4 linked regions of the Arabidopsis thaliana genome follow. The protein of the gene in region 1 purifies or fractionates together with the protein of each later gene. This does not show direct contact. Each region holds a gene or a part of one and is shown on either strand. Other genes may lie near its edges.

Region 1 (6,992 bases):
AAAGGTGTGGGTTTGCGCAGAGCCAAGAAGTGTATGATGGAGCTGTAAAATGAACTCTTTAGTATTAAAAGCTATAGAAAGCAACTGAATTGTTCACATTTGATGCGGTTTTTGCGTAGCTTGTGTTCTTGATGCTGCAATGTGTGTTTGTTGCTAAAGTTGATGGCTTTGTTTGTTGTGTCATGTGTGGTGATTTTTGAAAGGTGCGGGTTTGCGCAGAGCCAAGAAGCGTATGATGGAGCAGTGAATGAACTCTTTAGTACCTTAGATGAGATTGAGGATCACTTGGGTAGTAATAGATACTTGTGTGGAGAAAGGTTGACATTGGCTGATGTATGTCTGTTCACAACTCTGATTCGTTTTGATTCGGTTTACAACATTCTATTCAAATGCACCAAGAAGAAGCTTGTTGAATACCCAAATCTCTATGGCTATTTGCGCGAGATTTACCAGGTTCCTCTTCTTACTGGCTTCTCTCTGAGACATAAATTCTGCATCTGGGAGTGTGTTTCAAATTATGTGTTTGTTGTTGTTGTTGAAACAGATTCCTGGTGTTGCGGCTACTTGTGATATTTCGGCTATAATGGATGGCTACTACAAGACGCTGTTTCCGCTAAACGCTAGTGGAATTCAACCGGCCATTTCTTCATCTGGCGATCAAGATTCTCTCTGGAGACCTCATAACCGAGACTTGGTAGGTAAAGCCATTGAAGCACAGCTTTCGGTTTAAGCGTAGAAAACTGTACATAACTCAATGATAGGATTATCCAACAGCACTCAAAAGTATCATACAATGTAATAAGCTTTGATCTTGTACTATTATCATTCCTCATATATATAGAGAGAGAGAAGCCTTCCACAAGTGATTCTCATGGGAGTTCTTCTTAAGGTGAAATCACTTTCAAGACTTCACTTCGATACTACGATTTATATAAATAGAGAGATCTTTCAATATAAGTCATAACCAAAAGCCATAGCCGTTAGAACCAAAATTAAGATATTCACACGAGTTTTTGATATCACAAAAGTGAATCAGTTTCTAAGGATTATAGTTTCATCCTGATAGCTACCTACCTATTTTATGGACCGCGACTTTGCTTATATGCATTGTCGGAATTTTTTACAAAAAGCGTTTTTCGATTGGAATTTTTTTGCCAATTCATTCACAACAAAAAGGAGTTTGCGCCCACCACATATCTTCAAAACCTACCAATGTAAAGCTCTCTCTCATGCTCGCTTCTTCACATTCTTGCCTTCTGCAGCATCAACAAATTGCGTGTTAGTTGCAAAATAGTGAAGGGCTCATGTTTCAAAACCGAGATAACAGTCAAATATAGGAAAAGGATTATCAAATAGAAATCGTGTGATGATTACTCACTGCTAATCTGCTTCCTGACTCGGCAGAAGTCGCTACCACATTGACAATGGAACGGACTCGTGGGAAACACATCTTGGTTGAATGGGACACCATAATCCTGCAGGTCAAGTCCAAAACTTCTCAAACAGAACCACAAAGAAAACAGGACTTGAACCCGAACTAGTGAAAATTTCTAAAAGAAACAAATCTGTTAAGAGTGGGTGGAGAAACTTCTAACACACCCAGGTAAGTTCCTCCATAGCATCGATCTCTCTTGTTGTGAAGAATGCAAGCTGGAAAAAAATACAGATTAGCTAATCGGTCTATTGTTTCCACATAACAGATGAGTCTTCTATAAGCAAATGATTAGAAATGAAACAAGGAACTGTGTCATACATGATAGTAGTGTGAATCAGTAGTCTCCGCATGAACTGGGATCTCAATCAAATTTGCATCTAAGCATCTGCACATATAGACATAGTACAGTTAGAAGTAATGAATTGAGAGTGAAACCAACTATATAAGTTTCCCAAATGAGTTCTAAATCTAGGCTAGTCATATGAAACTTTATAACAAACTCATTTTCAGTGTCCCTTTACCTGTGATTGATGAACCTGGAAATATTTCCATAGTGCGTTCCTTCAAGAGAAAGTGCTTTGTCATCCCCTGAAATGTCTTCAGAACCCCAGTACGCATCCAATATTACTGGAGAAGTAGGCCTGTCAGAGATGCGTTGGAACAACTCTGGAATGGTCAATATCTCTCCAGCAAGCTCACAGACAAATGCTCCTTTAGGCAGTTTTTCTAGAGTTCTGAGTCCCCAGCCTCTCCCATTGGGCGTGAAAAACACCTGATTCAAAAAAAAAAAAAAAAAGGAACATAAACAAAATTCAGGCATCAGAATCTCTCCACTGGTTAAGTCCAAGTTAAAATGATCATAATCAGTTTCAATTCTATCAGAACTGAGATGGGTTTAGATTATCAAATCCTGGACTACTTGGCTAAAAAGGTTGGTAAGTTGAATGTACCTGCAGCTTGTTGTGAATGCCCTGTTGGACAACTCGGTTGCCACAATTCTTCATGCAGCCACACTTGCTCCAACATTCTTTAATGGCCTTTCTCTTTAGATGCCCTTTGCACGGTTCCAGGATTACTTCTTTTTTGGCTTTCTCTAAAGGACATTCTTTGCAATACAGTAACATTTGTTTCCGCGGATCACGGGCCTCAGAGATACACTGTTCCAGAAAATCTTCCTGTAGGAGGCCATCTACTGTGTATGCAAAGCCATTAAAAGCAGTTGCACATCTGCATGCCATTGACGGAGCCAAGCAATCTCCACAGCAAGAGGAGCAGCATTGGTCATCCCTGATATTCCCAAGCGAAAACTTCACTGCAGCATCTTGATACACAAGACTTTGGGCTATGTAATGGAAAACTGGAGGAACTTTGTCGTTGACCTCATTCACCCAGGGAATCTCAACAGTTTCTTTCCCTAGACTGATGTCCCCGACGCTGCTTATCAATCTCCACTCATCTGCAGAAAGTTGGCATTCAGGAACAACTACCAAAGCCATGGAATCACCAACTGCACCGTTTTCAGCATCACGCATATGTTCGTTGCTGCAGATTTCAACAACATCATTACTGGCCTGAGAAGTATAAGCCATCCTTGCTGCAGATTTCTTCAATGCATCAATGTTCGTTGTGACAAACGGCAAGTTTTTTGGCAATTGGTTAGCTGAATCTCTCCCGTTTGTTGCCAGGTCCAGGTAGCAGCTACAGATGTCGTTCATAAAACCAAGCACAGAAAAGTTGGGGTCCAGTATTTTGTATGATCGGAGACACTTCTCCTCCATTGCTCTTCGTAGTTCCTCCATAGAAGGTAAATGGGGATTTGATCCTCCAGTTGCAGGAGCAAAACTAAGATTAATCTTCACCTCGCCTGAAGCAGAAGAAGCTAATTCAAGTGCTGGAGGTTCTTCTATGGTTGCAGCTAGCTTGTGATCACTAAATCTCGCAACAGTTGTAGGAGAAATGTCATTGGTAGTACCATCAGCAGTACTTACTGTTTCACCAGCCTTCTCTTCCACATGTCCATTTGATTTGTCTATCTCAAGCATGGAAGAGTCCCCTCTATCTACTGAATCTACAGAAAACGTACAAGACACATTAGTTTTGGAGAAAGTAGCTTCAACAATCATAACAACAAAATGAGCAATGCAAATAAGATTTAGTTACTCCTATTTACAAAAAAGTACCAGGAATAGAACTGAGAGGCATATTTGTAATGGGCTCGACTTTTGTAAGAATGAGCTCACCAGCATCATGGTCATTTTCAATTGGTACAGGATGATATGGCAATAGGATCGGAGCATTTTCTTCGTCATTAATTGAAGGTCCCTCTAAAGTCGGACTGCCCAAGCTAGGGCTTGCCAAAGCAGAGCCTCCTTCACCTCTGCGTCGCAGCCTCTTTAAAGGGCGATCAGACTCAGCCATAACATCTTCGTCATCCTCGATAGACTGATATTACACAACAGAAACTGAATAAACAAGAACATGAAGACACATTACTCTAACACAGCAAAGATATTCAGTTTGCCATACTTCATGGAGCTTTTTCTTTCCTCTGTCAACTTCTGCGGCCTGAAAGATTGGATCAACAACAAAGTGAAGCATGGATAATAAAGCAACATTGAACTAATAAATGGAAGATTGTTTGGAAAAAACATACACAGCCTTCATCCTCTTTAACTTCGTCTGCCTTCTTTTCTTCGCTTTCTTGAATAGCCTTTATATAAGTAAATCAATATGGAATGTCAAGGTAATAACAAAGACAATGATTACAACAGATTTACAAAAAAAAAAACAGTAGATCAAAGAGAGAACAAAGAAAGATACCTGATCTTCATGGCTATCGAAGATAGCATCAGCAAGAACCCTGTAATTGTCTTCAGCAATTAACTCCCAGTTTTTCTCGTAAAGGGCGAGAAGGTTTTTCAAGACCGGCTTCACTCGCGCATCCTCTATTCCCATAGCCCTCATAGCCATAAATGCTTTCTTGATATGCAGATTAGGTGCCATCGTTTCTGCACCAACAAAACTAAAACTGATTGTGGGATTGCTTTCGTGAAACAAGTTGTAACTTCTCATTTGCCTCGTCCTATCAAAATGCGGAAGAAACAAGATGTGAAGAGCCGTTCAGTAAGGAAATAAATGTGGCCAGAACTCAAAACATTACAACAATAAGCAAAGACAGACCTAAAGCAAATCAACAACAAACCAAGACTACAGACATCTACCTAGCAGCAAAGACTAACCACAAGTAGCAGAAAAGACTCAGAAATTGAATATCCTAAGAAAGTTGAAACCTTTCCTCTTAAGAAAACACAATCGCACAAAGAAACTCTAACAAAACGTTGTTTTTTCTCTTCCAGAGAGCTAATAGCGTTTTCAGATGACGATGAGACTCAAAAAGGAGAAGACTTTCGTCGGAAATTAGAAGAACTTACTAAGTACAGAGACGAGAGGGTTAGGGTTTAAAGCGAGCTCGGTACAGAGAAAGGATTCCACGATTTTGACTTACTTAGTGAAGAATCTTGGCCGTAATAAGCAAATGACAACGGCGTAGAGACAATGTCGGTGACGACGGCAGAGTATTACGTCGGCGCGTGAGAGTACACGCGAGGACAGTGCCAGGTGAAATTTCGTTTCTTTCTCAGTATCTTGTTCGACTGTGACTTTTTGTTGACCCTCTCTCTTTCTTCTTCTTCTCTGCTTAATGGGCCGGGCTTAATTGGGTCGGGTCAAACTCAATAAATAAGCGAATCTTATTGACCTCTTAAGATTTGTTTTTGATCTTACTACTATCATGTGTATGTAACTATGTATGTCTCAAATTCTCCGGTATTTAAATCCAATGCAGGCAGTTCTGGTAACCTTATTTTATAAAAATTATTCACTAATATTGTATAGGGAATCTATACTTAATTAAGAGTTTCACATATCTTTTACAGTATACAGTATTAGTTCTTTCCTTTTGTAGTCTTTAACTCTTAATGATTTTGAAACATTGGGGAACACCTCTACTTCTCCGAGCAATCTTTTTTTTTTTTTTTTGGGCAAATGCTTGTTTTCATTCATCTACAAGAGAAAACAAGTACAAAGGTAGAAGGATTCTAAGATCACAAAGTTTTAACATACAACAAAGATAGGCATTCCCCAATACCATAAAAGGTAAGCAAAAGCATAGGTAAAATACATCAACAAAGGTTCCAAGAGAGCTATAATCCAAACACACAAAGGCAATTTGGTTCTTGTGAGATCAAGGGTTGTTGACAAATCTTCCACACTCACCAACTCAAAATATATCATATAGAATGTGAAATCCAAAATCCTGCAAAAACAATCATGCTTATCATTAACTCAAAATAATCATAGTGATAATATCTTTTGTAGTTTACAAAAACACACAGGTTTATTATTATTTACTCCAGTTACTACGCAATTATGTTCTGAAATTATGTAAACTCAAAACGATCATGTTTTGTTTTGTTTTGGACACAAAATAAAATCGAATCAATCATTCACATTTACAACAAGGTCTAAGATTTTATTTTCCTTCTCGTATCAGCCTACAATTTAAATCAAACTCATCAAAATATATCTTAGTGCCTTAAACAAAAAATACATATACACAAAAGGTGTTTTTCCATCAATGTCCTAAAACAAAATCCAAATTCAGACAATAAAGTCAGATTTAATGGCATTAAAGGTTATTCACTAAATTCAACAACAAAAAAGAAGAAACAGTAATCATTTTTTTTTGATACTGTATTACATAATCTCCTAAACCAAATCTATATAATAAACACTTGTCGTCTCAAAGTTTCTTTCTTTTTTATCTTACCCTTGAAGCAAGATCCAAAGAAAAGTATACTCCTTTATTTTTCATGGTTTCATACTACAAAACCTGCTCTTATTTACATTTTTTTGTCTTTAAACCTCAAAACAAAAGACAAAAAAAAAACGGAAAACTTTCTTTTTTCCGGACACATAAAAACAACACAAACTTTATTAGACAGAAACAAACTAGTAAAAAGATTTTGAACATCAAGAAACAAAAATCTCTCTCTGTCTTTCTCAATTATGAAACTCACCTATCAATTCTTCATCTTCTGGTTCTTTTTACCATTCTTTGCAATCTCCGGTGATGATGATTATAAAAATCTGATCTTTAAAGGTTGTGCAAATCAGAAATCTCCAGACCCAACTGGTGTTTTCTCTCAGAATCTCAAAAACTTATTCACTTCTTTAGTTTCTCAATCATCACAAAGCTCTTTCGCTTCCGTAACCTCCGGAACTGATAACACCACCGCCGTGATCGGTGTTTTTCAGTGCCGTGGCGATCTCCAAAACGCTCAGTGTTACGATTGCGTCTCCAAAATCCCTAAACTCGTTTCTAAACTCTGCGGTGGCGGCAGAGATGACGGTAATGTGGTGGCGGCTCGTGTTCACCTCGCTGGATGTTATATCCGGTATGAGAGTTCAGGATTCCGGCAAACTTCCGGTACGGAGATGTTGTTCCGTGTCTGTGGGAAAAAAGATTCTAACGATCCTGGGTTTGTCGGGAAAAGGG
Region 2 (8,292 bases), on another chromosome or scaffold:
GGTTTCTCACTAATCAGTAAACATGTGGATTTCTTATTAGTGTTTCTTGAACCTACAATGCAGAGTTTTCTCATTCATTTGTTCTAAACCTTCCTAGAGTGTATCTACCTTTTCAAGAAAGAAAGGGGGTTCTGCATTTTCTCTTCTGCATACCTTCCTCTTAACAGCTAGGTGTCTGTCCTAAACCGTAAAACCGTATGTAGGTTGAGTCCACTCTCCAATCATCGGTTATAAACAATGTACCATGAAGGAACAAGGCAACAAGCTATGAATATACATACAGAGGATCTCTCATCTAATCCACATTGCTGGAAGAAGTTAGCACAATACAAAGATTGACCAAATTGTACGGCTGGCTTCACAAACTAATGTTTCCAAAGCATACATGAGACTGCCTTCAAGCTGAAAACAATGCGTGGAATGTCATGATATAAGAGAGACGTGAAATACAGAACAAACTTTTAAGCAATTGATCTTTTACATTTAAGGTCAAAATCCTACGTGGTATATATACCATGAACCGATTTTAGTTATTTACTTATGGCCTGTTTCCAATCGATGCACTTTGGAAACACCAAAAATGCATAGATTGGGTTCAAACCTTACAAAACCAAAGGAGTGCCACAGTATTGGATATCCATTACAAAAGCAGCTAGAGGTTTCTTCCTGATCAAAATTCTGGGCTAAATCTCCCATATGTACTGTACTAAGCAACCTAGTTCAAGAGGCGATTAGAAGGCTACGCTTAGACCATACAACGAGTAGTCTACACCATAAACAGATACTTGAGATCGTCTACTGTTAGACGTGTCGCAGAGCTTCCACCATGTTCTTCACCAAAGGCCGATGCAACCATTGTCCTTTTCTCTTCCTGAAAAAAAAATGGTAAACGAGAAAATTCATAAGCCCTTCATAGTCTACCACAAAAACTCTCTTTAGTAATTAGCTTGAAAAAATTACTGTAAATATAAATCTGAAAAGGAAACCAAGGGAACCCAAAACCCAGCGACAATGAGCAGATAGAGTTTAGAGAATACCTGAAGCTTCAAAATTCTATCCTCAACGGTGTCTTTTATAGTTATGCGAGTTACAGTAACTGGCCGAGTTTGTCCAATACGATGTGCACGATCAATCGCCTGATCTTCGGTAGTTGGATTCCACCAAAGATCCAAGAGAATAACATGACATGCAGCTACCATATTCAGCCCAAGGTTTCCAGCTTTTAGCGACATCAGCATCACCTTTACCTAATAAAATTTTTTTTGCGCTTTTAGAGAGCTTCAGGATCAATACTCCATGAACATTCCATATTTCAGAGAAACGATTAGTATATTGTTTTAGAAAACATATCTAAGATATTTACATCACTTACATCTGGTTTTTTACTGAATTCTTTAACCGCCCTGTCTCTTGCTGCTAGACTCATTGTGCCATCTAATCTTCTGAATTCAATACCACTTTCAAGAATACGCAGCTCAACCAAGTCAAGCATACCAGTCCACTGAGAAAATATTATCGTCTTTACTGCCCCCTGGCTAGGTGAAGATGAGTGAAGACGCATTGGCTCTACAATGGTAACATCATCGTCATCATATGGCCGTGAGGAAGATGGCATTTGACCATGCTGAGCTGAGTTTGGACTGTCTGGTTGGGAAAGCGACTGCAGGATATCGAGGACAGCTTTAATTTTTGATGAACAAAAGTCTCTTTTTTGAAATACCGATCTATCAAGACCATTATCATGAGAGGAACTACAGCCCGAATCATCAGAAGTGCAATTTCTAAGAGAAGATTCAGAGAAAACAACATCACGCGCAAGCTGTTGTTTGCATCTCGGTACAGGGCACGTGTTCTCATCCCCAGTTATGTATTCTAAAACACATTCATAGCAAAATATATGGCCACACAACGTAACAACAGGTTTTTCTGGTGGCTCCTGCGAATAAATATGAAAAAAAAAGAAGCAAAGATAGTCAGGACAAGACCTAAGAACTAGAGAATAGTGAGCCTGAGGACATGCTATTTCTAGGTCTCATTTACTCTGCACTTCTGCACTTACATTGCACTCATAGCAGATGGCAGATGATGACTCTAAGCGATTGATCAGTCTGCTTCGAGCCTCCCTAGGGAGTCTTCTAACTGCTGCTTCTGATACTTTTCCAACAGGATCTGAGTTATATCTTTTAACAAGTTGTGGGTGGTCACAAGCTTGGCGTAGTCGCAAAAGCAACAGAAGAATATTTGCGTAGTTTTGACTCAAAGTTCCCGCATCAGCATAGGCCTGCAGGGAAAATGAATTTATCATCCTATCGGGTACAGCTACTAGTTTGTGTTCTCTCATAGGACGAAATGAAGACTTGCAAGACACTCAGAAACATGGATCTCCAATAAAATTGCTGCATAACTACAAGGTCACATTTATTAAGCATTTAGTTGCTATAAATGGATCTTCTTAACCAAAAAAGTGCACATCAATTGTAAACCAAGTATGAACAGATACTTTGTGGGGGAAAAAATAGGAGAACCTTGAACTGTGAACGTGAATCAGCTTCAAGCTTCTTGTAGAAAGAGCGCTCAGCCACTGAAAAGTCTACCTGGCTCAAATTTACTACCTTTGGAGGTAGATTAATTATGGGTTTCCCATCAAGCAATGTTCCTAGATAGCAGAACAGTAGATATTTAGCAGAAACCATCAAGTGCAGCACAACCACGTACGAATATAATAGGAGCAAAGTAAAAATCTACCATCAAACAGAAAATATCAAAATAAAAATGAACAGATGAGAAGACAAAAGGAAAAATGTACAGATGAGAAGACAAAATTGTTATTTTATTAACCACATGACCGGAGGACTAACTCAGGTGACAGGTTCAATAAACTAACAGGTACTCTCTTTATTGAGTACATTATAGATAAGCCGATAAAATCACAAAGTGTCAAGATAACATAGATAATATTAATAGTAATGATTGAGAAGTCCCGGCCACATAAACAACTCAACCAACCATCAAAGAGAATAAAGAGATGATCAGAGTACCTTTGGTGCGGCGCAGCATTATAGCCCTTAGAACAGCTTGAAGCTTCTTGTAACCTTGACAAGAATTTCTGGAAATTGGAACCTTGATTGTACTGTAAAATGACTTGTACACCGCATATGGATCATATCTAAGAAACCTGAAATAGCTATATAAATCATCAATCGTATTTTGTATTGGTGTTCCAGACAAGCACCACCTCCTTTTGGCTCGAAGAGTGCAACATGATCTTGCCATTTGTGTTCTATAGTTCTTAATTGTCTGAGCTTCATCTAGTACTATTCTGAACCACCCAACCTTTCCTAGAGGACCACAATCAGGCTCAGAAGAAGTATCGTTAGTGCTTTTTCTACCTCTTCTTTTACTCTTCTTACTAGCACCCACCACGACTTTCCGTTTCTTATTGTTGGAGAAGCCAGAGGCAAGACCATATCTGTCAGTATTTTTTTCATCGTTCTCATCCTCATCCACCAAGAATTTGTTGGGAGCTTCATTAGTAACAATAGCGTACGTTGTCACAACCACATCGTATTCTGCTAATTCATTAGGATCTTTGGTCCTATTACTACCATGGTAGACTAACACAGAAAGTTTGGATTCTTCAGAAACCTTCTCATCAAGCTCTCTTGCCCACTGCCTTACAACACTCGCTGGGCAAACAATTAATGTACCAGCAGCTGGTCTCTTCCACTGAAATGCTCGTGTTGAAGAATTAGCTTCTTCATCTTCGGCTTTCTCCATATCTGAACTGTCATTCTCATCATTACCACATGCACTCAGAACCGAGGTCTCACTGTTGCTTGAAACCTTGAGCTCTGGTTTTACATGACTACCACTTTCATGCTTTGCATTGTCTGACTCATCATCAGCATCCAGGACTAATGCCTCAGTTTCTTGCTTGCATGAACTTTCGGACTTCAGTTGTGACACAATCTTTTGCTTTAGGATAAGAGCAATCGTCGAGACCGTCTTACCAAGTCCCTGCAGAGTAGACGTTACATAGTTTGAGGTAAATATCCAAGCAGCAGACTCACAGTATCACAGATATTTATTAGTCAAGAAATTTAATCAAATGTGACCTGATCATCTGCTAGTATCCCTCCTGGACAGTTGAAACTACTTGTTTCCTTCTGAAACATCCATGCCAACGCAATTTTCTGAAGACCAGTAGTACTTAATACACAAACCAATACCAACGGCCAATAAATGGAAACTTAAAACATGCTACTACCTGATGCCTCATAAGAGGAACTGAAAGAGTACCAGGAGGTAGATCACTTTCAGTCATGGGTTGATTCAAAACCTGCAGGATTAAAGTACTTGATAATCAAAAATGCACTTACCACGCCATTTCATATCAGGTAGATTATGGAACAACACCGAGCTCTCAACACCCTTATAATGTACCAGAGTAAAATCGGAAAATAAATGCTACATCTATTGTCAATGATCCAAATTATTATTAATTATCATTATTTCTCAGACATGAAGAAAACGAATGCAGCTACATTATTATTTTAAGATAGTCAGTATAAAATTGAGTTGATCCAGCATGGTAGTATGACCGAAGCATCAATGAGACATGCAAACGCTTATAAAACGTTTCATGCACCATGCACCTCAGAAAAATATTTAACAAAAAAAAATGAGCCAGATTTAGAGTCAATTATTGCTCCATTATACTCTATGACAATCATATTAAGAGATTCAAAAGAGCCGGCAAAATGTAAAGCTGGTACAAGGGGCAACGATAACTAGATATGCAAGCACAAAAGAAGAGCTTAAGTGTTGAAGTCCACAAATAACAAAGGGTTGTGCTGAGGATGAATACCTGTAGTGCAGCCTGATAAACCAGCCTTTCATCGTTATCAGGATTCCTATCTTCACCACCACCAAACCTGTGCATTGGATCACTCGAACCAGCATGATGCAAAACAGAAGCAGATGTTCCATGCGTCAGAGATGGAGGCAGGATCCTAACCCCATTCACGCCACGTTGAATTCCTATCTCAGCATGGGCTCCACTATAATGATCACCAAAGGTACTCTTGTTGCCTACAGCTGACACAGCTGGATGACTATAATCGGCACCAAAGCGACTCCCACCAGCATTACGTATATTGTTTGTGCCACTTCTGGAAGGAAGGGGAGGGGGATTAAAAGAGGGTGGAAGAGTTCTTTTCAGAGCTTGCTGAGACAATGGTCTCTCATAATCCACACCAACACGACTTCCACTAGCATTACTTATATTGTTAGTGCCACTTCTGGCAGGAAGGGGAGGGGAATTAAAAGAGGGTGGAAGAGTTCTTTTCAGAGCTTGCTCAGAAGACAGTCTCACATAATCAGCACCAGATCCACTGGAAATTCTCGAGTTTACAGTGTTCCCATTCCCTGTGAAAGGCTTAGAGACTCCAGGCCGAGAAGTATCACTCGAGGCACCATTGGGAGGAGCCTGATTTGTATGTTCAGCTCTAGCATGGCTATCCACTGTAGGCAAAGGTCTCCTGCCTGCAAAGAAAAAAACACAGCATCAAAGTCGATCAGTCCATAAAGCTACCAAAACTAACCTCACCAGAAAGACCGAAATTGACAAAGATATGCCAAAAACTATACTTAGCCATGTGGGATCCATCCTGGTTCGAGTTTGTGGCCAAACAGGCTGCGGTGGTACTTCGTCATCACTATCACTACCTGAACTAATTTCAATAGCAGAATCCATTACAAAATCTCCTTCAACGTCAGTCTCCTCAGAAGAATCAGTAATAGGTCTTTTAAGAAACCGAATCAGCCTGCGAAGCAAAAGATTTGTGTTATTCTCCAAATGAAACCCACTACAAAGCCACCATTTGAACTAACATTCGAAAACAAAGCATCCTAAGCAACAACAAAAATCAACAATCAGCACCACAAAATAAGTTGATTTTTGAAAACGGTGTAAGGTTGACGACTTGGCATAAACCTCGAAATGGATGATCAACGGAACAAAAACGCTATTTCGCTGAAATCGGAAACTAATTTAGCAACACGGAAAGCGAAAGAAGGCCATAAACAAAAGAAATCAAGCAATGCGGGATTCAGAAATGTAAAACCCTACACGATGAGGTAAATGTAAGAAAAGTAAAACAAAAAAAAAAAACAGAAAAAGTAGAAGAGGAAGACGAGAAAGAGCTCGAATCGGAAAAAATGGAGGGAAAGGAACAGTACCAGGGAAGAAGCGAGTTGGAGAAGAAAGACGCCACTGTACACTAGGGTTTTTTTCGCTCGGAATCTCTCACAAATGTTTGCGGTTACGACGGAGAAAGAGATGATGAGTACAAAAACCCAACGTACAATTTCAATTTCATCCAAGTAAAAACTCACATTTTCTCGGCCCACTGTGACGTCTATCTCGGCCCACTGTGACGTCTATCTCGGCCCATCTTATATTTCCACGTCAAAAGCAACAAATCTCAGGTGATTTTATATTCGAATAAAATATTTTCAACAAATCAGACAACGAACGAGGAAGAAAAAAAGAATTCGTTTTTTTTTATGGCAAGGAAATGAAATGATACACCTCTCTCGGAAGTTCACGAGATCTTAGAGCAAGGAAGTAAAACAAAAACCTCATTTGCTTCTTCTTCTTTTATAAAATGGTTCTTGGAAACAAATCCTAAACCTCAAATAACAACACAACATCGTTACCGTTTATCTTCCCAACTTCACCAAAAAGCCTAAACTGAAATAGAATAAATTTTAACCGAAATCCTCGCAGCTGAAACCACTACTGCTGCAATCTGCTCTGTGCGCCAGGCTTATTGTGTGCCGGTTTTTATTCGGTCTTTTAACCAACTGTTAATCCGAAACCAAACTTGTAGTCCTTCTTCTTATGATCCAGCTGGATCGAACAAAACGAAACCAGAGTTTTAAAGGAGAATCAATACAGGAACCAGCGGAAATCTAAGTAGCAGATCATTTGTGTACCTCTGCAGAAAGAAGAAAATTGAGTCCCATACTCAATCTTTCTTCAAGGAGAGCGGATGCAACACCGTTTGAATCGATCTTACCCCGCACACGAGCCTGAAACAAAACCCATATTATTAGAATAATACGGATTTAGAATGTTCTTTTGTTGCTTGTTTTCAATTCACTTACAATCCAGGGAAAATATGGCAATGTTACTTACCTGTCTAAGCATATAGTCATAACCCACACTAGCTGTTACATCTCTTGAAAAGTAGTTGTACATGAAATCAGTGGCAAGTGACACCTGTGTGTCATGATTCATGAAAAAGATTGAATGTGTCATGATATATCTCTCAACTCTACAAGGTTTTAAGATGCAATCAAATGAGAACGGTACATCACCTTATCTGAAATCTTCTGAACATAGTTCATAACAACAGCACCCGTGCTAGCAACTTGACCAGAAGCAACCTGTTCATCAAGAACAGTTCTTAATATGATGGGTATATAAACTCAAAGTGTTCAAAATTCTGATCTACTTTCAGCTAACTGAGTTTTTGAACCTTGCAATTTGTATAATAAACCAACTGAGATGAAGCACTACCATTTTATCTGTCTCGTATCTAGCAGCATAGCCTATTCCCGACTTCCGAGGCACACCAGCCCAGAAAATTTCACCACCCAAGGATAAATGGTTTGTAACACTCTGTACAAAAAAATTATGATAATTTAATGAATAGAAAAAAACAGATACATTCCTTACTTAAAATTTTAACTATTACTGATCAAAAGAAAGACTGCCCACAGATAAAAGATATATATATAACTTTGACCACAGAAACTAAGCATGACATAATCACAAAGTCTAATAGAACGACGTAAGGTTCACCTCTCATCTATGTCACAGCTAGACGAATCAAGGCAAACAGTACACGGTTAAAACACTCAGAGATGGTTAGTAACCTTTCCCTGGCTATTTGACTACACAGAAAAATCTAGAAAGTTTCCACTGTAGCACGGGACAAGTCAAACTTACCTGGATATAAGTTGCTCCAATTAGGGCACTCTGTCCAAGTTGAAGCTGAGCTCTGTAGTCTGATCCCTACATAAATGTGAGATAAAAACAGTTAAAAAAACTCAATGAACCAAATACTGTATAATAAAAAGGTACATCACAAGGATAGGAAATTATTATATACAGAGAATTTTCATACCATGTAATCAAAGTTGAACATTGCTTGTGACATATGTTCCTCATTTGTTATCTGGTAAAGAAAGTAAACAAAGATGACAAACACAATATTACAGAGA
Region 3 (6,612 bases), on another chromosome or scaffold:
TTATATGTAAGAGATACTTGCTTGGGTTTCCGGGTTGGTTTCTTCGTTTCTTGGGTGGTGGAGCTGAGGAGTTAGGTTGTTGAATCATTGACATAAAAGTATCTTTCCGGTTAAAGTCGTTATCTCCGGTGCCGGAGCTGGTGATGAAGAAAGGCTGAGCAGAGGATGATGATGAAGGAATAACGCTTGTGTTATATGATGATGACGACATCTTTAGATCTTCTTCTTTGCGTGGAAGAGAATAATCTACAAATAATTCGTAAGACAAAAAAGTTAAGAAGAAAACGAAGGGAGGAATTATAAGAACAGGAAAAATCCATAGAGATTGACGACATGAAGAAATTTTATAAAAACCATTTCACTAGAAGACATAAACAAAGAAAAACAAATTAAGAGTTTATACTTTTGTTTTTTGTTCCTAAACTTTTGAAAGAATTAAGAGGAAAGATTTCTAAGTTGTATTTTTCTTGTACCTGAGATCAAGAGAAAGAAACCAAGTAGAAGAAGGAAAAAAAATAGTCAAAATTAAAAGCTATAAATCGGAGCTAAAGAAAGAACCAAGAAGAAGATGATGCATGATGATGATGATGAGATAGAAGATGATGATGAAGAAGAAGACACTATTCCTATATATTATGTATTATAATACAAACACAAACCTCAAAGCCCTATCTCTCTCTATCTCTATATCTCTTTCTCTCTCTACTGTTTTGTGTTCTTCTTCTTTTAAAAATAAGCCATATATGAAATGATCTTGAAAAGTATGTCTCTAAGGTCCCCTCTCTGTCTCTATCATTTTATTTTATTTCGATTAATATAAAATAAAGCTACTTTTTTTCTTTCTTATAATTTAATTTGACAGAATTAAGAAGGATGGTTACGGTTTGGGTGTCACTGTTAAAACGGTGAAATGTGTCCACATGCGGGGGTGTGTTGTGGGTACCACATTTTTCTCATTCGTATCTTTCTGGTGAGCTTTAAGACAAAACCCTCGTTTTCTCTTCATTTAACTTGATTAGGTTTTGTTGTACTAACTTTTTTTTAATTGTTTTTATCTAATAAAATCGTTTATAATATAACATATCGTATATTAATACACATGATACACCAATCAATAGAGAATTTTTTAAAATTTGTTAGATTCTTGTATGAAAATTAATATATTGCTTTTCTTCTTTGGTTCAATTCTTCAACCTTTCAGAATGTTCAATGCAAAACAATCGAACCGATTGGTTTTGAATCAAACCTAATTAATCCTGAACGAGTAACCAACTCTCAACCGATCTGAATAGATTTTAAAACGATATATCACAAAATCTCCAATATCACTTTAAGAGCTTTGAGAAAATATTATTGATATATTATTATTCGACCGTAAAGTTTGATTTTCTCCTTTTCACTTGGGCTTTTTAATCTTATACAATTTAGTTTTATTTTAGTTTACAAACGACAACATATTTAAGTAACAGGTGACTTCTCAACTTGATCCTCTCTTCATTACCATCGATGCTTTTTAAGTTATACTGAGATCGTACCAACTGCAATGGGTCAGTGCCGGGCCATATTCAATCAGGGCCTCCCTGATTGGGTTGTAATATGATTTCAAGTTAGTAATATGAAATAGCACACAGTCACGCACACAAAAGAGCCTATATAAGGAGAGATATACCACAAACAGCCCAAGACCCAGTTGTTTTAGATGAACCAAAATTGTATGGAAATATTTAGTATTTGAAACTGCCGTCACCAAGATGGCAAGGTCAGAGAAACTCAATAACAACTCTGTTTCTGCCATTCCGAGAGTTAATATTAATTTTCAGAGTTAATGGATTAGCTAGTAAACATATATATACAAATGATAATAACCTGTAGAATGAGGATTAAGATCGAGAACGACGAGGTTATCTTTACCGCAACATTCCAAACGTAGCCAAAGCTCTATTACCATACCCCTCAATGTACATATCCAGCTTATAAGACTCCTATCCAGTATCCACCATCCAACGAAACACACTCTCAGATTCTTCCACATTATGAATACATGTCAACCAAATAATTTCTCACCTCAACCATCATTTCAAAACCAAATCTTCAAGCAAACCCCATGGATTTAAAAACCCTTTTCAAGTGCGTCAAACAAACCACAAGCTTTTAGATTTGTCGAGAAAGTGAAGTCGTTGGGCCCATTTCTTCGGATCCCTTAAGTTCACCATTAAGTACTCATTAGAGCCCATTTCTTGGGGCCCATTAAGAGATTAAGTCCGCGCGCATAGCTTTTGGAGGATGCCGCTCTTTTGTAAGAAGCAACACGTTGTTGAGTCTCTAACCTTTCTTTGAAATCTTGACCTTTCCCTTCCTTCTCCGCTAAATTCGTTTTAATTTCATCTTCTTCTTCTTCTTCAATTCGATGCAATAATAGTCACTTCAATCTCAATCTAGGGTTTTCAATTTTCTTCATGTGAATTTTTTTTCCCCTTCTTCTCAATTTCAATTCAATCTGGGATTCGTAAATTCTCGGAAGATGAAACGCGATTTCGACGAAATCTCCGAGGAAGAGTGGTCTCAACACTCGTTTAACGCTTCGCGAGTTCTTAAACGACCACGGACTCCGAAGAAGACTCGCGCGGCGACGAATCCAACGCCGTCGATTGAGTCTTTTGCGTTTAGGAGACCTTCGACGGCGATGACGATTGAGAGTAATAGCAGCGATGGTGATTGTGTTGAGATTGAGGATTTGGGAGATTCGGATTCGGATGTGAAGATTGTGAATGGTGAGGATTTGTTGTTAGAGGATGAAGAAGAAGTGGAAGAGACTAAGGTTGTGATGCGCGCTGCGAGAGTTGGTAGGAGATTTGTGATTGAAGATGAAGAAGCGAGTGATGATGATGATGATGAGGCTGAGAGTAGTGCTAGTGAGGATGAATTTGGAGGAGGAGGAGGAGGAAGTGGAGGAAGGAGAGGAGAAGATGAAGATGTTGTGGGGAAGGCATTGCAAAAGTGTGCTAAAATCTCAGCGGATCTTCGAAAAGAGCTTTATGGTACTTCTTCTGGTGTTACTGATAGATACTCTGAAGTTGAAACTTCTACTGTCAGGATTGTCACACAGGTACTGGAAATTATCACTTTGGTGTTCTTAAAGTAGTTGCTTTGAGACGATTTAGAGTGTCTTCCTTATACAATTGTGAAGTAACTTTTGATTAGATAGCATATTTTGGTGGTAAGCTTTGATTGGTTTGGTTAGAGTTTACTGTTTTGTTAACTAAAACTTGTTTACTTTTGGGTTGAATCTGTGATGATCGCAGAATGATATTGATGATGCATGTAAAGCAGAGGATTCTGATTTTCAGCCTATACTCAAGCCGTACCAGTTAGTTGGTGTTAACTTTCTTCTTCTGTTGTATAAGAAAGGAATTGAAGGAGGTATGTGTTTTTACTAGTTTCGATCTGTAAACCTTTTTAGCGTGAATGTCACTTTGTAACTCACTTTCTATTGTTTGTAGCCATTTTAGCCGATGAGATGGGTCTTGGAAAGACCATTCAGGTGCATTTTGCTCTGTTATTACTGGATAAGTTTTCTTTGTTTCTTTATCTTATAAAGAACTAATTTTGTTCTCATTTACCTTAGGCAATCACATATTTAACCCTCCTAAGTCGCTTAAACAATGACCCTGGTCCTCATTTGGTTGTATGCCCTGCCTCTGTCTTGGAAAACTGGGAGAGAGAGCTCAGAAAATGGTGTCCGTCGTTTACTGTACTTCAATACCACGGAGCTGCGAGAGCAGCCTACTCAAGAGAATTGAATTCTTTGTCAAAAGCTGGGAAGCCACCACCATTCAATGTGCTTCTTGTGTGTTACTCTCTGTTTGAACGGCATAGGTGCAACTCTTGATGCTTTTATTTGCTTTTTGGCTTTTCCTGTTACTCACAGATGTTGGAATTTTACAGTGAACAACAGAAAGATGACCGAAAAGTACTGAAACGGTGGCGCTGGAGCTGTGTTTTGATGGATGAAGCCCATGCGTTAAAGGATAAGAATAGTTATAGGTGGAAAAACTTGATGTCTGTGGCCAGAAACGCAAACCAGCGTCTTATGCTTACAGGAACGCCTCTACAAAATGATTTGCATGTACGGTTGGTTTCTGTTGATTTTTTCAGGATCTAATTACCTAATATAGACGACATTTCTTCATGTGGTCATACAATGCTTATTCCCTGCATATGTTTGGTCTATGCAGGAACTATGGTCGCTGTTGGAGTTCATGTTGCCTGATATATTTACGACAGAGAATGTTGACTTGAAGAAGTTGTTGAATGCAGAAGATACTGAGTTGATTACTCGAATGAAATCTATCTTAGGTCCTTTCATCTTGAGGCGTTTAAAATCTGATGTCATGCAGCAACTTGTTCCGAAGATACAGCGGGTATGGATATATCTATGCACAATTAAGTACACGATATTAATCTTCTAGCTGCAAATCTCATTAATTTCCCATCAATCCAATGCAGGTTGAATATGTATTAATGGAGAGAAAGCAGGAAGATGCATATAAAGAAGCCATAGAGGAGTATCGTGCTGCTTCTCAAGCACGGCTTGTGAAGCTTTCATCAAAATCCTTGAATTCTTTAGCCAAGGCACTTCCAAAGCGTCAAATTTCAAACTATTTTACTCAATTCCGGAAGGTAATTCTCAGCTACTAATACAAAGCCCCTTTTGTGCCAAATGAGTGTGTTATTCATGTGTTATTAAATTTTGGTTGTACAGATTGCAAACCATCCATTGTTAATTAGGCGGATATACAGCGATGAGGATGTCATTCGCATCGCCAGGAAATTGCACCCAATCGGTGCATTTGGATTTGAATGTTCCTTGGATAGAGTTATCGAGGAAGTTAAGGGTTTCAACGATTTCCGTATCCACCAGGTAAATGTTTCTCTTTCCAAAAGCAGTTGAATATCCATTAACAAACATGTTATGCAATTGAAGAAGCTAACTAACTTGTTTCTTTCCATAGCTTTTGTTCCAATATGGAGTTAACGATACCAAAGGAACTCTCTCAGACAAACATGTCATGCTCTCAGCAAAATGTCGGGTACGTGATATTCTTCTTCATTTCATAAGTCTTCTTTGTGAAACTGATTAAGTATAACTAAACCTGTGAGCGATCTAAATCTCCCTTTATGTATCAGACATTAGCTGAGCTTCTCCCTTCAATGAAGAAATCCGGCCATCGTGTTCTAATATTTAGTCAATGGACATCGATGCTCGATATCTTAGAATGGACACTTGATGTCATCGGCGTTACATACCGAAGACTTGACGGCAGGTAATAAAAGAAAAAAGAGTAATTTGTCACATTTTTGACGATTCTACAAAAAGGAAGAAGCTTAAGTCATTTTCCTTTTGTTTTCAACAGTACTCAAGTTACAGATAGACAAACCATAGTCGACACATTCAACAACGATAAGTCGATATTCGCATGTCTCTTGTCAACTCGAGCAGGTGGACAAGGTCTTAATTTAACCGGAGCGGATACAGTCATTATTCACGATATGGATTTTAATCCACAGATTGATCGGCAAGCTGAAGATCGTTGCCATCGTATTGGTCAAACAAAACCAGTCACTATCTTCAGGTTTGAGCTTTAAATCCTTGAATCAGTTTAGATAACTTTCAGAACAAAATTGTGGTTTGGATTGGTTTATGTGTGCTCTGTTTTGTATTCTCACATATATCTGTATTAACTCTGGCAATGCTGGTGCAGACTGGTGACGAAATCGACGGTTGATGAGAACATCTACGAGATAGCGAAGCGGAAACTAGTTCTTGATGCGGCGGTTCTAGAGTCCGGAGTTCACGTAGATGACAACGGAGACACGCCTGAGAAAACCATGGGAGAGATTCTTGCTTCTCTTCTCATGGGATAACATTATTGTTACCTTTTTTGTTTTGAGGTAAAATTAGTCAAGAAACGAAGTTAATGTGTTATTCTAAACATGTGTAACCACTAGCTATTATTAGACTTAAATTTAATAGATCACGATAGTTATATTTTCTTCTACGCATGTAAATTATAACCCAAAAATTTCCTTCTTTAGACCTAAAAGTCACAATTGTTCCAAACACTAAAATGTGGATCAGTGATCAAATGAAGTGAACCTTCAGGATAGTTTAGTCTTCGATCATCAAAGATTGTATAAAGGAGTGACTTAGCTGTATTTGTAGGTATCAAAATTGAAAACCTCACGCAATGATTAAAGGTCTCAAGTATCTTTATTCGTCAGAGTTGTATAAGACACAAATCTCACTAGATTGTTTTCCCATTGTCTTTGCCGAAACCTAACAATGAACAACTAGTTCTATTAGGATTGGTTCAAGAATGTCACATAGTATAAGTTTTTCTTAGCTGAAAAATTCTAGATAACTTGGAATAAATTCTAGATAGTCTTTTTTTTTTGCTACATTTGAAGATAAATATCTATGAAAATGTTCAAATTCATGATTATATTATTGCGATTAAATAATTGAATATGACTATACAAAATAATTCACTAGTAAATCAAAGCCATACTAAGTTTGGATTCTTTGTGGTAACTGCCATTGCCAAGTCACGT
Region 4 (8,278 bases), on another chromosome or scaffold:
AGAAGGATTACAAGTTTGGTTTCGGTGTTAACGCCTTTTAATTCCATCAAATGGCCTTCACAATTAGTTAGAAACCTCAAGATTTGGTTATTTTTTGATGTTCAGTTTTTTTAGTTTAGATATTTTTACTGTATTGCTCCCACAAGAATAAAAGCCAAGGAGGTTTCTTCATTTCACATTGAGGAAGAGCCTTTCTTGTTTATTATTTAATTTAATTAATGTGTAAACATCAGAACTCTTTTTTTGTTAGATTTAACTTTGGGAGAACTATGAAAATAGTCTAAATTTTCTTTTAGCTTTCAGTTAATTTTTTAATTAACAAAATAGTTTAAAGTGGAGGAATTTTCAAAATTGCTCCTTTTGTTGTACTCATTTTCATACATTTTCAAAAATGCTTTCATTAAACCTGATAATGTTAGTAAAGTTTATTGTTTACATGGTACTTCTCGATAGTAACTAATTTTTGAAGAGTCGATCCAAGTATTTATAAGGTTTTATAAGATATTTAAAAGTTTTTATAAAGTATATAAAATGTTTTCTAAGATATTTACAAGGTTTTATACATGTAAGAAATAGTTTTGTATTTTTTATAAGTTTAACATAAATAATAAGACTTTGGATGAAGTTTACTTTTAACATTTTTAAGCGATTTTCTTTCTTATTATTATAAAATAAATTGTCTATAATAAACTTAGTCAATTTTATGTTTTTTCCAAACCAAGGTAATTATTATGAAATTTTGGTCAACTATAAATATTTACTTCACAAGATTTTTAGTATTTAGGGAATAAAGTTTCCAATAACTAAAACTCGAACTATATTGTATCCCTATATAAATATACGTCTTTCTAAATTCTAAAGATAACAACAAATCTACTAATACCACCACATATTTTTCTGTTGTCCTACTTTTGAAACAATCCCAATACTAGAAGGCTACGAGAAAAATCTTAGTAAAATCTTGAGACTAAGTATCGGTGCTTTAGTCCAAAAGGTAAAATCTCATTTTGTTGAATTCTTTCAATGGCTTTTTTTTGTTTCTAATGGGTTCTGAATTTTTGCTAGACAAAATATTCGGGATCCAAGATTCATTCTGAAATTCGATCTAAAAATAGGTTATCCAAAATCTTTGGATTTAGATATTTTGATTTAAAAATTAGGATATCCTTATTTTATATAAATTGCTCAAAAAATCACCAAAAAAAATATTTTAAATTTGTTGTGCAATATTTTAAATTTAATCCATTTGAAAAATAGTTGATAATTAAATTTGTTTTATGATTAATTTGGATACAAACTTTTTATTTGTTTTATACTATTATTTTAATTGTGAGTTATTTATGGTGGATTTGAATCCGATATTAACGGATTTGGATCTGGATATGTCGTTTCTCATATATGGTGGATGTGGATTCAAGATCCATGTATCTTAAAATTCCAGGAAATATTAGTAGTGTCCACCTTGATTAATGTAAATGATATCTCGGAAGCTCAATTTTTTTTATGTCAATTAGTATTTTTGAAATTATAATTTACTTTTATATAAGAAATTTTTAGTGATATATTACATTCAAAACCAATAAGAAACAGTACTAGTAAATTTTATAACAATTTTTTTTTTTGATTTCATACCCATTTTATGGAGTGAGAATTCACAGTCTAATTTGTTTAATTATGTTCTCAATGATTTTTTTCTTTTTTTTGGTCAACAATCATCCTTAATATATATATATATATATATATGTGAAGTTGAAATAATATGGGCCGAGAGGTTTGGGCCTGGTTCTGTTTTTTTGTTCCTACTATTAATTTAATTTATTTGTTGAGATTTTTCCTCGTTTTTTAAAAAACCGATGAGAGCGTATCTATATTTCTTTTTTCATTTTTCTCTCCGATCAAAACGCCGCCGTTGCGTCTCTGATTCTTCCTTTGGGTCAACTGAGGAAAAAACCCTTCCTATGAAGAACAACAATTGGCTTCACACTCTCTCTTTTCTCAATTTTGCTTCTTACTTCTTTCCCCGGTACTCACTGATTCTCCCCAATTTTCCTTATTTCGTCGTGCCCTTAGGGTTTCTTACATCGAAAGTTTGGTTTTTGATTATGTTGTCCCGCCATTGCATGACGTTGTTCTGTTTTGTTCTGTCCTAATTGCTTATTTGGGTTTCTGAATAATCTTCAATTGGAGTTTTTTTTTTGTTCAAGCTGAAGAGTTTCGGTGATCGTCCTCTAGAGATTGATGCTAATTTTTTCAAACATTACAAAGTTTCCAAAGCCACCGCCCACTTGAAACATTCTTTTGGTGATTATGATTGTTTATATCGATTTAGCATTACTTTACAATAAGCAAGTGATTCTCTTCATAAAGTATGTAGCTTTACTTTGTTTGATCCTACTCTTTTGGTAATCTTAGTTTCGGATTTGCCTTTCTCGCAATAACAGAGCGCTTTGTAAAGTTTTGCGTTTTAGATGATTAACATTCCTTTCTTGCGTATTTCAGGCTGATTAGAAACTTGACCGCTTGATTCTCTTAAAGGAGGTCTTGCGATGGATTCCGCTATTGATATCAGTTCTGATAGTGATGTCGAGATACAAGAAACTAGAACCAGGCCTCAACATCCCCCACGGATAGCTGAAGGTTGCATTTCTGACCTATCAATTGTTTTATTTGTTTTGCTGTGAGGTTAGCTTTATGGAGTTGTTGATCTTGGTGCAGGATCTCATAGAAGAGATCTCTCTACGCTGAGACCGCACTTTCTTAGTGGGAGTTCTTCCGGTGCAAATGGCCACACTAAAACAGGACTTACAAATCTCGACTCACGTAATGGTTTTGAATCCAAGCCACTGCCTCGGGCAGAACACCATACACATATTCCGGGAAATGGGAGTATCGTAACTTCCAGAATTCCCAATATCTCTGTTGGTGATTATGAGAAATTTTCATCTCAACAAGCTTTTAAAAGGACACATCCACCAACCTTTAGTCGACCTCCTTTTCCTCCTAGACCTGATATTGGTACAAGTAACGGGAATGCGAGTCACTTTCGTGGTGGAGCACATGATGATCTAGGCATGGGGCGTGTGACTAACGGCACTCGGATCCTACCTCCATCTGTGGCGCACGGAACATCTGCGTCTCCTTCACATTTTAATGGATTAAGTGATCCAATGCATAGGAATGGCATAGGCGAAGAAAGGAATTCGGAAAATGACGAGAGGCTGATCTATCAGGCTGCACTACAGGTGTTCATCCTTATCCCAACTTTTGACTTTTGCGATTCTCATCTTAGTTTTTCTTTTGTGCAATGCACTTCTCTTTTTCGCCAGCTGTGGGGTTGTTGAACTTGGCCATTGAATGATTGGAATAGGCTCGTTTCTTCCTGTTTGTTTTATGTCAGAAATGAGTAATAGGTTTTTAAAGGTTCGGATGTCTCAATTTCTCAATGATGCTTGAGACCGGGTAACATGCTGAATTTCTCTGTTTTAGACCATGTGTATGGAAGCATTGTTGTTCTTCCTTTTTGACAAACGAGAAGGAATAGGAACATTCACTATTGTTGCATTCGTCTCTTATTTCGCACTGTTGCATCAAGGTTATGATTTCCATTTGAAGAGTTTGGTGTTTTTGCATAATTCCCCTGGTATGAAATGGTGTGATTTAAAAATAAAGACTTTTGCCCACAATATGAATTGGTGTGATAAGTGCTTAAACTTCTGATAATTAAGTACATGTTTTCTGCAGGAACTGAATCAACCCAAGTCCGAGGTCGATTTACCTGCTGGTCTTCTTTCGGTTCCCCTTATGAAGCATCAGGTATTCAGGTTTACATCATCTTTCAGTATCTGTCAGAATGGTCTTGTGTACTTAACACTGTTGTTTCTCAGAAAATTGCATTGGCATGGATGTTTCAGAAGGAAACTAATAGTTTGCACTGTATGGGAGGGATATTAGCTGATGATCAGGTTACTTTTAATCGTAGTTATTTTCCGCTTAACTATCTATGATCTTACTAGGTTTCCCTCAAATTCCATTTGGTCTACTGCACAGGGCCTTGGTAAGACAGTCTCGACTATTGCGCTTATCCTAAAGCAAATGCACGAGGCAAAATTAAAGTCCAAGAATTCAGGCAATCAAGAGGCTGAAGCATTGGATCTGGATGCTGATGATGAGTCAGAAAATGCATTTGAGAAACCAGAGTCTAAGGCTTCAAATGGTAGTGGTGTGAATGGTGATTCAGGCATAAAGAAAGCCAAGGGAGAAGAAGCGAGTACTTCAACACGCAAATTCAACAGAAAGAGACCAGCTGCTGGTACTTTAATTGTTTGTCCAGCAAGTGTTGTGCGGCAGTGGGCAAGAGAACTTGATGAGAAGGTTACTGATGAAGCCAAACTTTCTGTTTTAATATACCACGGCGGTAACAGGACCAAAGATCCTATTGAACTAGCAAAATATGATGTGGTTATGACAACTTACGCCATTGTTTCAAATGAAGTTCCAAAGCAACCCCTGGTTGATGACGATGAGAATGATGAAAAAAATTCTGAAAAATATGGTCTCGCTTCTGGCTTCTCCATCAATAAGAAACGGAAAAATGTAGTGGGTACTACTAAGAAGAGTAAGAAGAAAAAAGGTAACAATAATGCTGGCGATTCATCTGACCCTGACTCTGGTACTCTAGCAAAAGTTGGGTGGTTCAGAGTTGTACTAGATGAAGCTCAAACAATTAAGAATCATAGAACCCAGGTGGCAAGAGCATGTTGCGGTCTTCGAGCCAAAAGGAGGTGGTGTTTGTCTGGAACACCAATACAAAATACAATAGATGATTTATACAGCTATTTCAGGTTTCTAAAATATGATCCATATGCTGTGTACAAGTCATTCTGCCACCAAATTAAGGGTCCAATTTCCAGAAATTCCCTTCAAGGGTACAAGAAGCTTCAGGCTGTTCTAAGGGCTATAATGCTACGCCGTACGAAAGGTATTTTAACTATCTCACTATTCCTTTTAGTGGTTGGATTGGTGAGGGACAGGACTTGACAAAAGTGGTATATCATATGTCATGCATTTTCTTATTATATCTGCTTATATCTTAGATACTTTATAATGAGATTAGCTGTGATCTTACCTGAGCCATTACCTAATGATAGTCCTAAAGTTAAGTCCAATACTATTCTTCGGTTTGTGCATTTTTCCATTTCATTTTACTCTGATCTTCTGCTTTTAGATGATATATTTTTCATGTTACTCCTCTTATCCCTCAAGTAACTGTGTTGTTTTTGAGGGTTTCTGATAAGTTGATACTCTTCTTCTGATCTGCGATCTAGGAACATTGCTTGATGGCCAGCCTATAATTAATCTACCACCAAAGACAATTAATTTGAGCCAGGTGGACTTTTCGGTAGAGGAGCGGTCTTTCTACGTGAAGCTTGAATCCGATTCCCGTTCTCAGTTCAAGGTGCTCTTTCTGTGCTCCTCCAAACTATCAGTTTATCCTTGGTTTATAGCTGTGATCTGCACGTTTTTGAAAAATATGATACTTACGTAGTAACTAGCAACTTGATATGGTATAAACATAGGTTATGGAGGCATTTTCGTTGAAAAAAATGTTTTGCAGTGATTCCTGATTTCCTGTCAAGTATGTGAGATGATATTTTTTTCTCTGCAGGCATATGCTGCTGCAGGAACTTTGAATCAAAACTATGCAAACATTCTTCTCATGCTTTTGCGACTACGCCAAGCTTGTGACCACCCCCAACTTGTTAAAAGATATAACTCAGATTCTGTTGGAAAAGTATCAGAAGAAGCTGTTAAAAAACTCCCTAAAGAGGATCTAGTTAGCCTGCTCAGTCGCTTAGAATCGTCTCCCATCTGTTGTGTCTGCCATGTAAGTGCATAATAATTTAGCAAATATAAGTAGCGTATCTTCAGGTTCGCCATAATCTAAGTCCCTAGCTGCTTGTTCTGATTTTCTTTACCCATAAATTCCGTTTTATTTTCTCTTTGCAGGATCCACCAGAAGACCCTGTTGTTACTTTGTGTGGCCATATATTCTGCTATCAGTGTGTATCAGATTATATCACAGGGGATGAGGACACGTGCCCTGCGCCTAGATGCAGAGAACAGCTTGCGCATGATGTTGTTTTCTCTAAATCCACGCTTAGAAGTTGCGTTGCTGATGATTTGGGTTGTAGTTCCTCAGAGGATAATAGTCATGATAAATCAGTTTTTCAGAATGGCGAGTTTAGTTCATCAAAGATCAAAGCTGTCTTAGATATTCTGCAGTCGCTTTCTAACCAAGGCACTTCAAACTCAACACAGAATGGTCAAATGGCTTCTTCCTCGCAGCAGCCGAATGATGATGATGATGATGATGATGATGATGTCACCATTGTCGAGAAAACGAGTCTGAAGTCAACTCCTTCTAATGGAGGACCAATAAAAACGATTATATTTTCTCAGTGGACTGGTATGCTTGACTTGGTGGAGCTATCTCTAATTGAAAATAGTATAGAATTCAGAAGATTAGATGGTACAATGAGTCTAATTGCCAGAGACAGAGCTGTGAAAGAATTCAGCAACGATCCAGATGTAAGTCGTATGCATATCTGAAATCATTTTTTCCTAAACAATTTTCTTAGTGGTGGTGTATGTGTTCCCTCCTTTTTTTGTTTTTTTGTCTTAAACAGGTAAAAGTGATGATAATGTCTTTAAAAGCTGGAAATCTTGGGCTGAATATGATTGCTGCATGTCATGTCATTCTTCTTGATCTATGGTGGAATCCAACTACTGAAGATCAGGCTATTGATCGAGCACATCGTATTGGACAAACTCGACCTGTTACTGTAACTCGTATTACGATAAAAAATACTGTGGAGGATAGAATTTTGGCTCTCCAGGTAAAGATCCCTTATAGCTGATACTTGTTTCCCCCCTCAGTTTCTCTCATTTGTGGTTGTGTGATTTTTGGTTATTATTATAGGAAGAGAAAAGAAAAATGGTTGCGTCTGCCTTTGGTGAAGATCATGGTGGAAGCTCTGCAACTCGATTAACAGTTGATGATCTCAAATATCTATTCATGGTGTAGCTGTTCTTAAATCTTGGGTTGGCGAAGTTTCGCTTCTTTCAGAATTTTGATCATGAGCTGCATTCTTGTGTTCTTCAGGTTCACAGATTTGAAATGAGGAAATATGTAAATAACTTAGCTGTTGTCTCATAGTATATATAACATCAGAGTATATACTTTTTCTGAATCAGTTCATCCGAGATCTTCTTTCCTTTTGGGATCACATTACTCTTTCAATCTTATTATCAAGGTGTTTTGATCATGCAACACTTTTGCATGAGAAACACTCTGTGAATTTGCTAAGACAAGATAAAGACTAGATTGCTTAAACAAAATTCAAATATAAATGAAGCAAGAAGATTAGGTTAAACTAGATTCAATGTAAATGAAGCACGTGAACTTTAGGTTACAAAGTATTTGGACAGCAGATAAGTCGTATACTCTTTGGATAGTGAACATGTCCTTTAGTAACCTAAATATATATACCGAGTTTAAGTTATTTACAATACACAAATGACAAGATCACCTGCTTAAAGATAGGCAAAGTTTGGCTGGTCTCTGAAAGAATTTGGAGTTCTGAACTTGAACCGATCATCAAATTAGTTATCTTCAGCTCAAATTGGATTTGGTTTGGTATTACACCCACACCAGACCAAATTGAACCAACACACAAAGGCTTTACATGCAGAGGCAGTAGAAGCATTTAAGCCAAAATAGCATAAAGAGACAGAAAGTCACCATCACAAAACAACTAAGATTGTGTCCCCATGTATACAAAAAAGAAAGGGACTCTGCTCATAACCAAAATAGAAGACAAACTGTAATATATCATTCACTTCCTGCATCTCCAAGCTGATACCGAGTATAGAGGTCGATCTTGCCAGCAAATTACTGCGCACCCGCTCTCTTCCTTGATTCTATACCCATCAAAACCGCACCCTTGAAGCAATCTCCTAGCCTGCAACATCGCATAATAGCTAAGAGGAACATTCCCAAAACCAGCCAAATCGATCCTCTGGCTCCATTTCTCAAGCTTCTCGTGTCTTTCTCTTCTCTCAAATCCCTCGCAGGATATGATGTTCTTGATCTCCTCCCCGAAGAGCATCTTCTCCACTTTGATCCTATCTTGAGACGTTCTTGGAACTTTTGTTTCCAAGCAATCAAACAATGCTGCGTAGGTGTAAAGTGATTCTAATAGCCTCTCCATTAGTGTGG

Evidence for each region.
Region 2: the proteins of SUVR2 (region 1) and AT3G20010 purify together in Arabidopsis thaliana (affinity purification with western blotting; 2 studies listed by BioGRID, with this or other methods). This does not show direct contact.
Region 3: the proteins of SUVR2 (region 1) and ETL1 purify together in Arabidopsis thaliana (affinity purification with western blotting; one study listed by BioGRID). This does not show direct contact.
Region 4: the proteins of SUVR2 (region 1) and AT1G50410 purify together in Arabidopsis thaliana (affinity purification with mass spectrometry, with the first as the bait; one study listed by BioGRID). This does not show direct contact.

Annotation. Positions count from the first base shown.
Region 1 is NC_003076.8:17,695,969-17,702,960, reverse strand, and holds SUVR2 (SET-domain containing protein lysine methyltransferase family protein), read right to left. Parts: upstream 5,120-6,992; 5' UTR 4,867-5,119; intron 4,518-4,866; 5' UTR 4,508-4,517; coding exon 4,256-4,507; intron 4,146-4,255; coding exon 4,089-4,145; exon of another isoform or gene 4,034-4,088; coding exon of another isoform or gene 4,001-4,033; coding exon 3,962-4,000; intron 3,878-3,961; coding exon 3,616-3,877; intron 3,504-3,615; coding exon 2,386-3,503; intron 2,208-2,385; coding exon 1,957-2,207; intron 1,821-1,956; coding exon 1,754-1,820; intron 1,651-1,753; coding exon 1,600-1,650; intron 1,476-1,599; coding exon 1,379-1,475; intron 1,257-1,378; coding exon 1,228-1,256; 3' UTR 925-1,227; downstream 1-924. Other genes in the region: AT5G44000 (Glutathione S-transferase family protein), read left to right, coding at 204-453, 545-730; PDLP1 (plasmodesmata-located protein 1), read left to right, coding at 6,503-6,992. UniProt on the Arabidopsis thaliana protein: Probable inactive histone-lysine methyltransferase that acts as regulator of transctiptional gene silencing independently of histone H3K9 methylation.
Region 2 is NC_003074.8:6,968,815-6,977,106, reverse strand, and holds AT3G20010 (SNF2 domain-containing protein / helicase domain-containing protein / zinc finger protein-like protein), read right to left. Parts: upstream 6,425-8,292; 5' UTR 6,241-6,424; intron 6,165-6,240; exon of another isoform or gene 5,996-6,164; intron 5,826-5,995; 5' UTR 5,756-5,825; coding exon 5,650-5,755; intron 5,545-5,649; coding exon 4,868-5,544; exon of another isoform or gene 4,340-4,867; coding exon 4,268-4,339; exon of another isoform or gene 4,194-4,267; coding exon 4,116-4,193; intron 4,018-4,115; coding exon 3,039-4,017; intron 2,657-3,038; coding exon 2,526-2,656; intron 2,282-2,525; coding exon 2,060-2,281; intron 1,937-2,059; coding exon 1,373-1,936; coding exon of another isoform or gene 1,325-1,372; exon of another isoform or gene 1,248-1,324; coding exon 1,038-1,247; exon of another isoform or gene 996-1,037; intron 872-995; coding exon 767-871; 3' UTR 416-766; downstream 1-415. Other genes in the region: TOM40 (translocase of the outer mitochondrial membrane 40), read right to left, coding at 6,860-6,913, 7,000-7,095, 7,202-7,285, 7,384-7,452, 7,586-7,687, 8,018-8,083, 8,196-8,246. UniProt on the Arabidopsis thaliana protein: Probable helicase-like transcription factor involved in transcriptional gene silencing. Associates with SUVR2 and contributes to transcriptional gene silencing at RNA-directed DNA methylation (RdDM) target loci but also at RdDM-independent target loci.
Region 3 is NC_003071.7:520,960-527,571, forward strand, and holds ETL1 (SNF2 domain-containing protein / helicase domain-containing protein), read left to right. Parts: upstream 1-2,263; 5' UTR 2,264-2,521; coding exon 2,522-3,106; intron 3,107-3,302; coding exon 3,303-3,420; intron 3,421-3,500; coding exon 3,501-3,541; intron 3,542-3,625; coding exon 3,626-3,876; intron 3,877-3,945; coding exon 3,946-4,126; intron 4,127-4,235; coding exon 4,236-4,421; intron 4,422-4,506; coding exon 4,507-4,680; intron 4,681-4,762; coding exon 4,763-4,921; intron 4,922-5,012; coding exon 5,013-5,090; intron 5,091-5,187; coding exon 5,188-5,324; intron 5,325-5,414; coding exon 5,415-5,633; intron 5,634-5,762; coding exon 5,763-5,925; 3' UTR 5,926-6,109; downstream 6,110-6,612. Other genes in the region: IDD4 (indeterminate(ID)-domain 4), read right to left, coding at 22-211. UniProt on the Arabidopsis thaliana protein: DNA helicase that possesses intrinsic ATP-dependent nucleosome-remodeling activity and is both required for DNA repair and heterochromatin organization.
Region 4 is NC_003070.9:18,670,282-18,678,559, forward strand, and holds AT1G50410 (SNF2 domain-containing protein / helicase domain-containing protein / zinc finger protein-like protein), read left to right. Parts: upstream 1-1,854; 5' UTR 1,855-2,023; exon of another isoform or gene 2,024-2,499; 5' UTR 2,500-2,546; coding exon 2,547-2,637; intron 2,638-2,715; coding exon 2,716-3,242; intron 3,243-3,741; coding exon 3,742-3,813; intron 3,814-3,884; coding exon 3,885-3,962; intron 3,963-4,047; coding exon 4,048-4,978; intron 4,979-5,324; coding exon 5,325-5,455; intron 5,456-5,665; coding exon 5,666-5,884; intron 5,885-6,006; coding exon 6,007-6,588; coding exon of another isoform or gene 6,589-6,609; exon of another isoform or gene 6,610-6,686; coding exon 6,687-6,896; intron 6,897-6,979; coding exon 6,980-7,084; 3' UTR 7,085-7,371; downstream 7,372-8,278. Other genes in the region: AT1G50400 (Eukaryotic porin family protein), read left to right, coding at 1-41; SCL3 (scarecrow-like 3), read right to left, coding at 7,896-8,278. UniProt on the Arabidopsis thaliana protein: Probable helicase-like transcription factor involved in transcriptional gene silencing. Associates with SUVR2 and contributes to transcriptional gene silencing at RNA-directed DNA methylation (RdDM) target loci but also at RdDM-independent target loci.